Linked DNA regions of Tamandua tetradactyla. The protein of the gene in region 3 interacts with the protein of the main gene of each other region in a pairwise test. Links are inferred from orthologs where the notes say so. Each region holds a gene or a part of one and is shown on either strand. Other genes may lie near its edges. The genes, in order: NRAS, RAC1 and RAP1GDS1.

Region 1 (3,752 bases), on a different chromosome or scaffold from region 3:
TTCATTATGCTTTACTTCTGAAGACGGTATGAGGGTAGAATACATTACCTATTAAAATTACAAAAATTAAACAATGTATAGGCAAACCATTTCCTTAAGTTAATGGCCAAATGTTAAAATGTTATTTTTCATATCATTTATAATCTTGTCACAGTCCACTTAACGAAGTTTGGTTAGATTTCAGTGAAAATTCTCTTACAGAGTAGGTTTTTTTTCCTTCGTGGGATGGGGGATAACTTTACTACAATTAGTATGTTTGGTGCAGAATTTCATGCAAATGAGGTGTGCCGGCAGTGTGATAATTTAAACGTATTTAAACAAACAAAAAAGGACGAATGCACAAACTTGCTGCTTAGATCACTGCAGCTTCTAGGACCCAGTTTCTTTTACTGATTTAAAAAAAAAATAAAAAAAAAAGTTGTGCCTGAAATGAATCTTGTTTTCTTTATGAGTAGCCCCCTGGTTCCTGTGTCCTGTAAAACACAGGCACTTGAGCCTTGGTGTAGCTTGTTTGACTTTATATCACGGGAATGGATTGGTCTGATTTCTTGGCCCTCATCTTGAATTGGCCTCATTCAGGGTCCCTGGCCAGTGGACAGAAGGCTTTGTCTAAGATGAGAATGGTCAGCTCAGGGGGTGTGGGGGAGGGCACTTCATCTTCCCCGTTGTCGTTTGATCTCTGGGTAGAGGCCGTTTATCTTTGTAACAAAACATTTTGCTTTCTCCAATTTTCTGTTAATGGCGAAAGAATGGAAGCGAATAAAGTTTTACTGATTTTTGAGACAATAGCACCCAGCGCTTTCATTATTGAAGTATCCCGTGTGGGAGGGGCGGGTATGGGTGGGGCGTTCCGCGTGACTCCTAGGTCGGCGGCCCACGTGGCCAGGGCGGGGCCTCGGGCGCCCGGGGCACAGGCTGATTACGTAGCGGGCGGGGCCGGAAGTGCCGCTCCCTGGTGGGGGCTGTTCATGGCGGTTCCGGGGTCTCCAGCATTTTTCCCGGTTGTAGTCCTGAATCTGTGCGAAGCGGAGGCAGCGGAGCTTGAGGTAAGGCTCCAGCGTGTGTAGCCTTCGGCTTTTAAGCGCACGGCCGCCTCTTTGATGCCAGGAGCGGAGCGGAATCTGCGAGCTGGAGACAAAGGCCCTGGGCGGGGGTCCTTCGTTGTAGGCGATCTTTGGAGACAGGCGGGAGGGCGGCCTGTAGGCCTTCCCCCAGAACTGGAAAGTCTTGCGGGAGGGGTGGGAGTGGGGGGTTGCTCCTTTACCTTAGGCTGAGGGCGGGGCCCAAGGACTGCTGAAAAAATAGATGAGGGTGGGGGAAGCCAGAAGAGTAGAATCCAGAACTCTGAAGCCCTGATTAACCTGCAAGTGTTTCTGCGTTCCTGAATCACTTTGAGAACCAAATGAAGAGTCACGTGTGTGAAGCCGACCTATAAATTTCAATCCCAGTTCTAGTAACTATTGATTATAGGAGACTTTGAAGTACTGTAGATGTTCCTCTTCAATTAACCGTAATTGCTGCTTTCTCACAGATTCTTGCGGGTGTGAAATGACTGAGTACAAACTGGTGGTGGTTGGAGCAGGTGGTGTTGGGAAAAGCGCCCTGACAATCCAGCTAATCCAGAACCACTTTGTAGATGAGTATGATCCCACCATAGAGGTGAGGCCCCGTGGTGGTATGTTGACCCTAGCTCTCACTTTCAGTCTTTCCCTTTACCAGCTAAAGGAATAAATATGTACGAAAGAAAGTAAAAGATTTTCTTGAATACTGCATTCAGTAATATAAGTACAATTTTCCATGTTTATAGAGAAGAGTTTTTACAAACTGTTGAAGTGTTCTCAAAAGTTCATAGTTTTTAACAGCTCTAAAAATTGTTGCAAACTCAGTAGTTGACCTCATTCAGTTTCACATATGACATCTCTATCAAATAGAAACAGGCCATAGATAATAGTGTGATGAAAATAAAGGATTCAGAGACCTGGATAGTCCTCAGTTTAAAATTTCTTCTCTAGTTGAAGCAGGCGAGACCATAGGTTGATGTAAAAAGTACATAAGATTTTGAGTCACTATGCCTAGGATTCAAGTCCTGTTTGCTGCTTACTTATGTGATATAGAATAAGTCCTAGTCTTTTTCATTTATTAAATTGCCATAAACATGTCCTGCTTACCACATAAGGGTGTTGTGAAAATCAAGTAAGATTATATGCTTGAATTACTTGTGAGTGGTAAAGCACCTCAAAAATAGTACTTGTTCTAAGGCCCTTTAAATAAGATTTTTAAATTGTATTCGATTTAGAAATTACGAATTCTGGAAATGTTTAGGGTTTTTTTGGGGGGGGGGGGTGGCAGTACCTGATCTGGAAATTGAACCCAGGTCTCCCGTGTGGAAGGTGAGCATTCTACCACTGAACCATTTAGAAATTGTTTTAATCCACAGCTTCAACAACTTGGCCTTCCTACAACCCGCCTACTGAGTGTTTAATCAGTGCACACCAACTCTAACATAGTCACTATTAAAAATTGATTATAATCCTTGACAGAAATCTTTATTTCAGCCTTGACAGCTTCATTATCAATGCTTAGACGCTTTTTAGAAGACTGTGTGTAAACTACACTGTAAGAAATACAAATTTCTTATTGTAATTTACACTCAGTCTGCAGTTCATTGATTTTTTTACATCCTTATACATCCGTGTAATCACCATCCAGATCATTCTCTCATATATCTTTCCAGTTAATAACCTTCCCCATACCACCTGTAAATAACCACTTTTCTGACTTCTCTAAATCCATTTTGCCTGAATCTGTATTTAAGTTGTAATTTTGCTCATTTCCTCAAAACACATAAAATTAACCATCTCTCCTACTTCACGAAAGTTATATTAAAGTGAATTCTATGTTAATTTGAAAGAGTAAATTTAGAGATTGACCGTGAAGTGAGTGACAGAGGAGTTGATCCATGGGTCAGGAAAAAGGTGTTTTCTGTTTCAGAGCAGATCTTTACTAAGAATGATGATATTATTTTCTTTAAACTGAATCCCTAGATTGAACAAAGCCAAGTTGGAATTATTTTTTATATGATCTGTGCATGTCTGTCTTCCTAAGGAATTAATTATAACTGTACCTGTTAGGAACTTTTAAAAACTTGATTATTTCCCAAATGTACAGTCTGTCATGATGAGGAAAAACTTTTTGATCTTGTATCCAAAATTTGTGTATTTAGTTGTAAACACAAATGACACTATGTCCAGGCTTGGTTTATAATTGGAGGTATGTTTAACATTTTAAAAGTAGAATAAACAGCTCAAATAAGAATACTTCGGATTTAAACCTTACTATATGAATTTAATGTCTAATTTCCTAACTCCATTAGAGCTCTTTTGTAAATTACCATGTATTTTCATCTTTTCCAGGAACAGAGTGACCACATTTTCCTTTCTGCAGGCATATAGGATTTGGGGCTTTTTTCCCATGGCGACAAGTGCTTTCTGTTTGCGATTATATATTAGCAGTTTGAGATGCAAACCAGATAGAAATGGACTTGAATAGTTGGAAATCTATTTAACTTTGGCAATAATATTGCATTCCCTGTGGTTTTAATAAAAATTGAATTCCTCTCTCCGCATCACCTGCCTTCCAAACCCTCAGGATTCCTACCGAAAACAGGTGGTAATAGACGGTGAAACCTGCCTGTTGGATATACTGGACACAGCTGGACAAGAGGAGTACAGCGCCATGAGAGACCAATACAT
Region 2 (3,752 bases), on a different chromosome or scaffold from region 3:
CCATTTTATTTGCCCCTATTCTAAAAGACATGAAGGTAACTACGCCAAGGAGTTTAGATTTGTCGCAAATTCAGCAGAAATCTGTGTAAGCAGTGACAGAAATGGGGATGTTATTCCGCTACTACCCTTGAAATTTCAACTACTCAAGGCTGATCTGTATCGACAACACAAAAAGGTATCCTTTCCCTGGGAACACATTCATGTTGAAATAATTACAAGATAAATACGGTCTTTTTTTTCTTCTTAAATATGTGTGCAGAAAAGATCTGATTTCAGAAGACTGTTACACGGGTGGGCAACAGAGTGAGGTATAGAAAGAGAAGGGCCCACAAGATGAAACATCAGAAATCAACTTCCCAGGAGGGTCCACTCTTAACCAGGGAGCGTAACTGCCTTCCAGTGGGGCAACGCAACAACACGAATCGAGGTTTAAAAACACTCACCCCTACTGATGCACTAACTCCATTTATGGGAACACAATCTAAAGCAACTAAGCTATAGACAAAGATTCTTGCACAAGCAAGTACCTTTCAGCATTGCTTTTTAGAGACAATCCATCTGCCCCACAATACTAGAACTGGTTGAATTCATTACGGTATAACGGAATAGGAAGCCGATGTTAACGAGGTTCTAACAATGACTCAGGGCGATCCTCTCAATTTTGACATGTTCATTATGTATATAAAAAATAATTAATTGGAAACATGTCATCCGCACATTAATGATGTGCCAACATCGTCAACGCAAAGGAACTTTGGTTCAGTTTTCTCCTCAGAACTTGGTACAAATCATAGGAAGTAACAGGCACGCAAAACATTAAACATAAGAGAAAGTGCATACGTGAGAAAAGTTTACATTTTTGGCCAAATGAACCTTGGTGATATCTGCAACTGCGTGTTATATGCATCTTTCTTCTTTCTGGTTTTGGACTCCGAATTTCCTAAAAGAACCTTCTGTCATGTTAACTATCACGTAAAAAGGATAATAAAAAGGGGGGGGTTTGTCAACGCCCTTCAGATGGTCTGGGACAGCTCTCAGAGAAAAGCTGTTCCCGGGAACTCAGGACTTCCTTCGAAGACTAGTCCCCGGGCCAAGACCCGGTCAGCGGCGCAAAGATGGCGGCCAGCCCCGTCCGTCCGCGTTGAGAGCCGAGCGCTCCCGAGCGTTCCCGAGCATTCCCGAGCATCTCCGAGGCCGAGAGGAAGCCCCCGGAGCGGCCCCGCCCGGGAGCCTAGGAGCGGCGGCGCCAGGGCGGGGGAAGGGAGGCCGGATGTGAGTGGAGCGGCCATTTCCTGTTTCTCTGCAGTTTTCCGCCAGCTTTGGGTGGTGGCTGCAGCTGGGCTTTGGCTGCCAGTGCACTGAGGGCCAGGCGGCGTGGACAGCGGTCCCGGCACCCCGCGCCCCGCCGCGCCGCGAGCCTGCCGCGTGCCGCGCCCGCCGCTCCTCACCTCAGCGTCCGGTCGCCGCCGCCGCCGCCGCGGCCCAGCGAGCGGCCCAGATGCAGGCCATCAAGTGTGTGGTGGTGGGAGACGGGTGAGTGCACCGGACCCGGACGGGCCGGGCGGGGGCCGCGCGCGGGGGCGGGCCTGGCGGAGGCCGAGGTCCGGCCGGCACCGCGGACTCGCGTGGGGCCTGCGCCCGGCCTTCTCTGAGGGCCGCGGCGTTCCCACCTTCCGCGGGGCCCGCGGGGCGCCGCGTGCCTAGTTCCGGCTTTTTTTTTTTTTTTAAGTGGGTGTTGGGAATTGAGTGCCGGCCGGAGGGAAAAGGGGACCCCACCCTCCCGCTTTCTTCCCGAGCCCCGCGTCCCGCCAGGGCAGAAGTCACCGAAAGCCTCTCCCCGCCCTCCCCGCGTTTGCACGGTGATTAGGTGGCGTTTGGAATTTGCCTTTTTTTTTTTTTTAAGCGCGCTCCTTTCGTTTGTCTTTTTCGCCTCCCGTGTCCCGGTGGCGGCGGGTAACGCTTGTCAAGTTAACACTGTTGGATCACTGTTTCCGGGGCTGCTTTGGTGACCCTAAACTTGCTCTGATGAGTGGCTTGTTGGCCACTCCTAGAGCTTTAGAGTCACGGTGTTTGCTCTTTCTGGGAGAAACGTTTAAGAGTTTAGCTGTGAAGTAGCTGGATGTGATTACGACTCTTCTCTTCATTGAATATGGGCTAAAAAGGAGGGGAGGGAGTGCGTTAGGGTGTTAGGTATGGGATGTAGCAGAGCAAGCTCCCTGAGCTGGGTTGCCCTGTGTGACTCAAGGCATTTCTTTTCATTGCTGTCCGATGGTCACAGGCCCTCGAGGAAGACAAGACTTGACTTATGCAGTTTTTTCCCTCCCCTCCCGTAGAAACAAAAATCTCAGTGTAATCCTAGCAGAGTTGTGCGTGTCTGCATGGCTTGTGTAGTTTTAGCGTTAACAAGGAAGCTTGAAGAACTACTACCAGTTTCGTCAAACTCAGAATGCAACTGGTACGTTTCCCAGCGTGCAAAGTCGAGGGAATTGTTTTGGCATCGTTCTTCTTTTTGATTAGTGTTCTCCATACTTGTCATTGGTACCAATTTAGCTCTTAGTCTCTAAAGTGATTTGTGATTTCCCAGCTTATTTAGATAATTTTAGGCATTCGAAGTTGTTCCTCTAACTTATTCAGATGCAAGAACAATTAGGCAACTGAATTTTTTTAAGCCGCCCATCTGACTGATTTGTCAGACTCACAAGTGTGAAGAATTCTGAACACTTCATGGTTCTATGCATATAATTAAAAATCGTTTCACTCAGAAATATATTTTTTAACCTTGCAGAAGACAGCTTTACTTTCTGTCATTTAGGGTGGAAAAAAAAGTTCATTTAGTTGGTTTAATAAGGAAAACAAGATTCTTTTACATGAAGTTTTGATTCTTTTGCATCATGAATGAACTCAACAGATATCACTTTGTCTAATAATCATTCTTAGTTATCTGCATTTCCTTTAAAAGTTAAAAAGGCCGAATCGGTAATGTTAGCATATGAAATAATACAGACTAATTTTTTTAAGGAAGCAGTGAATTGCTGATAATTCAGTATTAATAGCCATAGTATGTAATATTCTCAATTTAAAATGTCAGAAACTAAAACATAAGCGCTAGTAGGTATATTTATTTAATACTAACGGGTTATGGATCTAGATAAATGGGTATTGGCTTATTTATTCTAGTCAGATACTTGTTGAAAACTTCGAGAATTGAATCCTCCCATCAAGTCAAGTCCCCACCTCACCATTTACTTGTGGGGTAATCTTGAGCAGGTCATCTCCCAAGAGAGGTGCCTCAAGGGAAAGTTGTGGGAATTAAATAAGAAGCTGGATAGTAAGCACCTTGTCGGTTCCCGCCCCATAGTGACTGCTCAGGAAGTGCCAGCTACCATTATTCTTATTCACTGCTAGGTCGGGGAGGAAGTGTTAGGCAGAGTTACTGACGTTGAATTTTTAATCCTTTATTTGATACTGATTTGACTAGGGCCAAGCAGCATTAGAAGTGAAATGTACCTTTCAAGAAAACCCCCACCAAGCCATAATACTTTAAATTAGAGATAATAAGTGCCAACCATTATTTCAGTGAAAATCTAGATCCATAATTCCCTATCCTAGAAATATTTGTTAGCTTCTAATCACATGTCTGATGATATAGTTGGAATTTTCTTTTTATTAAAAAATTGTGTGGTTTTAAATCTTGGGGGGGCTGAAGAAGTAACGTAATGTGGAATTTCAAGCAATTTAAAGGCAAATTTTAA
Region 3 (3,752 bases):
CTCTACAAGTTGATTATAATTTCACATTTTGCATCACTTACCCACCTTATCTCAGATAAGAAGATTATGATTTCATACAAAATATAAGGGCTTAGATTAATTTAGTCAATCCTTACTATATGCCAAGAGACTAAATTCCAAATTTATACTTTATAAATAATTTTGTAAATTTATTTAAGAAACTATTCCCATAAAATTTCATAGAACTCTAATTTTTCTGTACTTTTCATGTTGCTAGTTTTTATAAACTTGGGCTTATAAAAACTATTTTTGTTTATTTCTACTATCAGATGAAAAATTCATCTAGAGCAGGAAATTCTTCTAGGATATTCAAACTATTTTCCATAGTGGGAACTTCATAAATCCGACATGCTATGTTATTTTCTGAGTTACCTGAACTTGCATCTTTTATTACATGTTATTATGTGAACTGCCAGGATTAAGAAATATTTTTTTAAGACGCATTCCACTAAAAACAATGACTATATTTCACTGTAAGTAGAGAAAAACTTCTAAGCAGTCACTTTCCATTCATCATTAAATGGATTTAAATTTCATTTTAGTTTGAACCAGAAACATTGTAGTCTTACTTGGCATGTTTGATTAAAGGGTCAAGAGTATGACAGATGATCTTTATAAGTAGATTATTAAACTACAAGGGATAAAAATATGAGTTTGTAAAATTTTATTTCACACAATGCAAAAATACCTTTTCACTTAAGAGTCCAAGAATTATTTCACTGATTTATACCTGTTAAATAGAGTCCTTGGATATGACATGACTCAAATTGCTAGTAAGTTAATACACAGTCTTTTTTATTAGCAAATACTGTTTGGACTGAGATCCAGGCTTTATTAATTCTTTATCTCAGTACTGACTAAAAAAATATATATCAGGGAGATTTTCTCTCCTAAATCGTTTCCCAAAATGGAAAGATTTAAGATACTATCATATCAAATAGTGGTCAATACCCAGGATGTAATAAGTCAACTTGGAAAATTAATATAAATAAATCAACAGAATTCAGTGGTATCTAACAAAAAAATTTAAACTCAAGTATAAGACTGGAGCAATATTGATAAAAATCTGTAATCTGTCTTTACAAACAGCTTCTGTACAAGAATTGCTGGAATGACCTTGATACACAAAAGTAACTCTTGATGCTGGAAACTATATACTTTCAAACTTGACTACTGTACAGGCAACCTAATTGAGCCAATAATAGAGAAAAACACTGTCTAAAAGTAAAATACATGAAAGTTATTTGCCATGCTCTAGCTTCTTATATCTATTATGTGCCTGCAAACCAGCCAGAGACACAAAAAGCAGCTATCAGTACTCTATTACCAGAATTCTTCCAGAACAGTGATCTACTGGTTTACTTTATTATGCCATTTTTCCTCATTTCTCAGCCCCATTGTATTTATTTCTTAGTTCTAGTAACCTACTTAGCTCCTCAGATTAATACAGCGATCTGGGACTTAGTATCTTAGCTGTGGCCATCACTACTTCTTCAGGATCTATATCTCTTTGGCTCCTAGCACTGAAATTCAGGGATAAGAGATATCCTGCTTCCAATTTCTGCCCTGGATCCTAGGACATACCTGACAGGGAAGGAAGACCAGACAAGAAACAATTAATGTGATTTGGATAAAAGGAAATTTTACTGGAGAATTTACTGAAATTTTTACAGACTTATATAGAATAAAGATAAATGTGTGGGGTTATATACTCAAACTTTCAAAAAGTTTTGATTAAGATTCTTCACTAGACAAAAAGACAAAAACCAATTAAAAAGCAGACTCAGACATTTCTCCAAAGAACAGACATTTTTCCATGGGCCAATACGCACATGAAAAGATATTCAATATCATTAGCCATTAGGGAAACACAAACCAAACCACAATGAGATACTAAATCATATCCACTAGAATGGCTGTCATTAAAATAAGAAAAATAATAATAAAACAGAAAATAATTGATAAAGATTCAGAGAAATAGGAACCTTAGTACATTACCAGTGGAAATTTGTAAGACTGCAGCTGTTGCAGAAAACAGTTGGCAATTCCTCAAAAAGTTAAACATAGAACTACCATATAACCTAGCAATTCCTACTTTTAGGCATATACTCAAAAGAACTGAAGGCAGGTACTCGGGCAGAAATATTTGTACACCAATATTCATAACAGCATTACTTACAATAGCCAAAAGGAAGAAGCAACCCAAATGTTCATCAGCAGATGAATGGATAAATAAAATGTGGTATACACATATATTTCAGTTTGTTAAAGCTGTCAGAACACAAAATATCAGAAATGGGTTGGCTTTTTCAATCGTATTAGGTTACAAATTTACACTTCTAAGGTCATGAAACTGTCCAAATTAGGGCACCAACATACGTTTTCTCAAGAAAGGCTGCTGGCATCTGGGGTTCCTGTCACATAGGAAGGCACATAGTGACATCTGCTGGTCCTTCTCTCCAAAATGTCTCTGAGCACTTTTCTCCTGGCTTCTGGTTTCACTGGCTATCTACAAAATGGACTCCAGTGAAGGATTAAGGTCCACCTTGAATGGGCTGGGTCACATCTCAATTGAAAAAGACTAATTAAAATGTCCTACCCACAATAGGTCTGCACCCCCAAGAATGGATTAAAAGAGCAAAGGCTTTTCTGGGAAACACAAGAGACTTAAAACAGTACAACATACAATGGAATGTTACTCAGCAGCCTCAAAATGAATGAAGTGATGAAAAAGGGCAATGACAATCAAATGCAACAAGTAATTCTGGACTGGATCTAATGATGGTGGAGAAAAGGCCCAAAAGAACATTACTGGGACTTAAGAAAATAGGTAATATAGCCTGTAAGCTTTATGTCAATATAAAATACCCTGAGCTTGATAACTGTACTTAAGGCAGTTATATAAATGAATACCCTTGATCTTAGGAAATGTACGTGAAAGTACTAATAGTCAAGGAGCATGATGTATAAAATCAAGTCTCAGATATTTAAAAAATAGAAAAACAGACATCCTGACAAACTAACAGACTGATAAAGAGATGGAGAGACAGGCAGATAAATAAATAGAATGAAACAGCAAATGTGGCAAAATGTTAAAAGCTGGTAGATTTGGGTATCTGGGTGAGAGGTATGTTGGAGTATTCTGTACGAATTTTGTATTATTTTTGCAACTGCCTTATAAGTTTGAAATTATTTCAAAATAAAAAGATTTTAAAAATATTATTCTTCATCAGAACATATACAAAATTGTGACTAATTTTTAAATTAGATATGAAATGGAGATTTGAACAGTTTAAGTAACTTGCCAAAGGTTACACTACACAATTAGTTTATGGAAGGGCAGATATTCCATCCCCTCTCTCTCTGATTTTTTATATCATTCTGATCAATTGAGAATTTGGTTTAAGTATGATTGATGACCATGTATTACAGGCAGTTAACTTTGCTCTTGACTAATTATGTTTCTGTATTAGTTTTCAAAATTAATTTTAAATAAATTAATCTTCAAAAAGTAATATAAGTTTAAATGTATTACAATTTTGAATCCAATAAAATTTTTATTAACTTAGAAGCTATAACAAAAATATGAAGGACAGCAAACTCAAATATCTACAAGCGCCAGGTAAATAAACAGTGAAATTGGCAGAATATATGATAATAGAAAATAGTGAATTAGAGATCCCATGCCTTGCCCAAACAGCAACTATGGCTGATTGTTGCGAAGAAGAATG

Evidence for each region.
Region 1: the proteins of RAP1GDS1 (region 3) and NRAS interact in binary tests that used the Homo sapiens proteins (3 or more experiments, as listed by UniProt). The link is inferred for Tamandua tetradactyla from reciprocal best matches to the Homo sapiens genes RAP1GDS1 and NRAS.
Region 2: the proteins of RAP1GDS1 (region 3) and RAC1 interact in binary tests that used the Homo sapiens proteins (3 or more experiments, as listed by UniProt). The link is inferred for Tamandua tetradactyla from reciprocal best matches to the Homo sapiens genes RAP1GDS1 and RAC1.

What each region holds. Positions count from the first base shown.
Region 1 is NC_135337.1:6,612,247-6,615,998, forward strand, and holds the start of NRAS (GTPase NRas), read left to right. Parts: upstream 1-919; 5' UTR 920-1,046; intron 1,047-1,531; 5' UTR 1,532-1,548; coding exon 1,549-1,659; intron 1,660-3,648; coding exon 3,649-3,752. UniProt on the Homo sapiens protein: Ras proteins bind GDP/GTP and possess intrinsic GTPase activity.
Region 2 is NC_135349.1:5,559,793-5,563,544, reverse strand, and holds the start of RAC1 (ras-related C3 botulinum toxin substrate 1), read left to right. Parts: upstream 1-1,277; 5' UTR 1,278-1,498; coding exon 1,499-1,533; intron 1,534-3,752. UniProt on the Homo sapiens protein: Plasma membrane-associated small GTPase which cycles between active GTP-bound and inactive GDP-bound states.
Region 3 is NC_135350.1:27,504,681-27,508,432, forward strand, and holds the start of RAP1GDS1 (rap1 GTPase-GDP dissociation stimulator 1), read right to left. Parts: upstream 2,633-3,752; 5' UTR 2,465-2,632; coding exon 2,401-2,464; intron 1-2,400. UniProt on the Homo sapiens protein: Acts as a GEF (guanine nucleotide exchange factor) for the Rho family of small GTP-binding proteins (G proteins) that stimulates the dissociation of GDP to enable subsequent binding of GTP.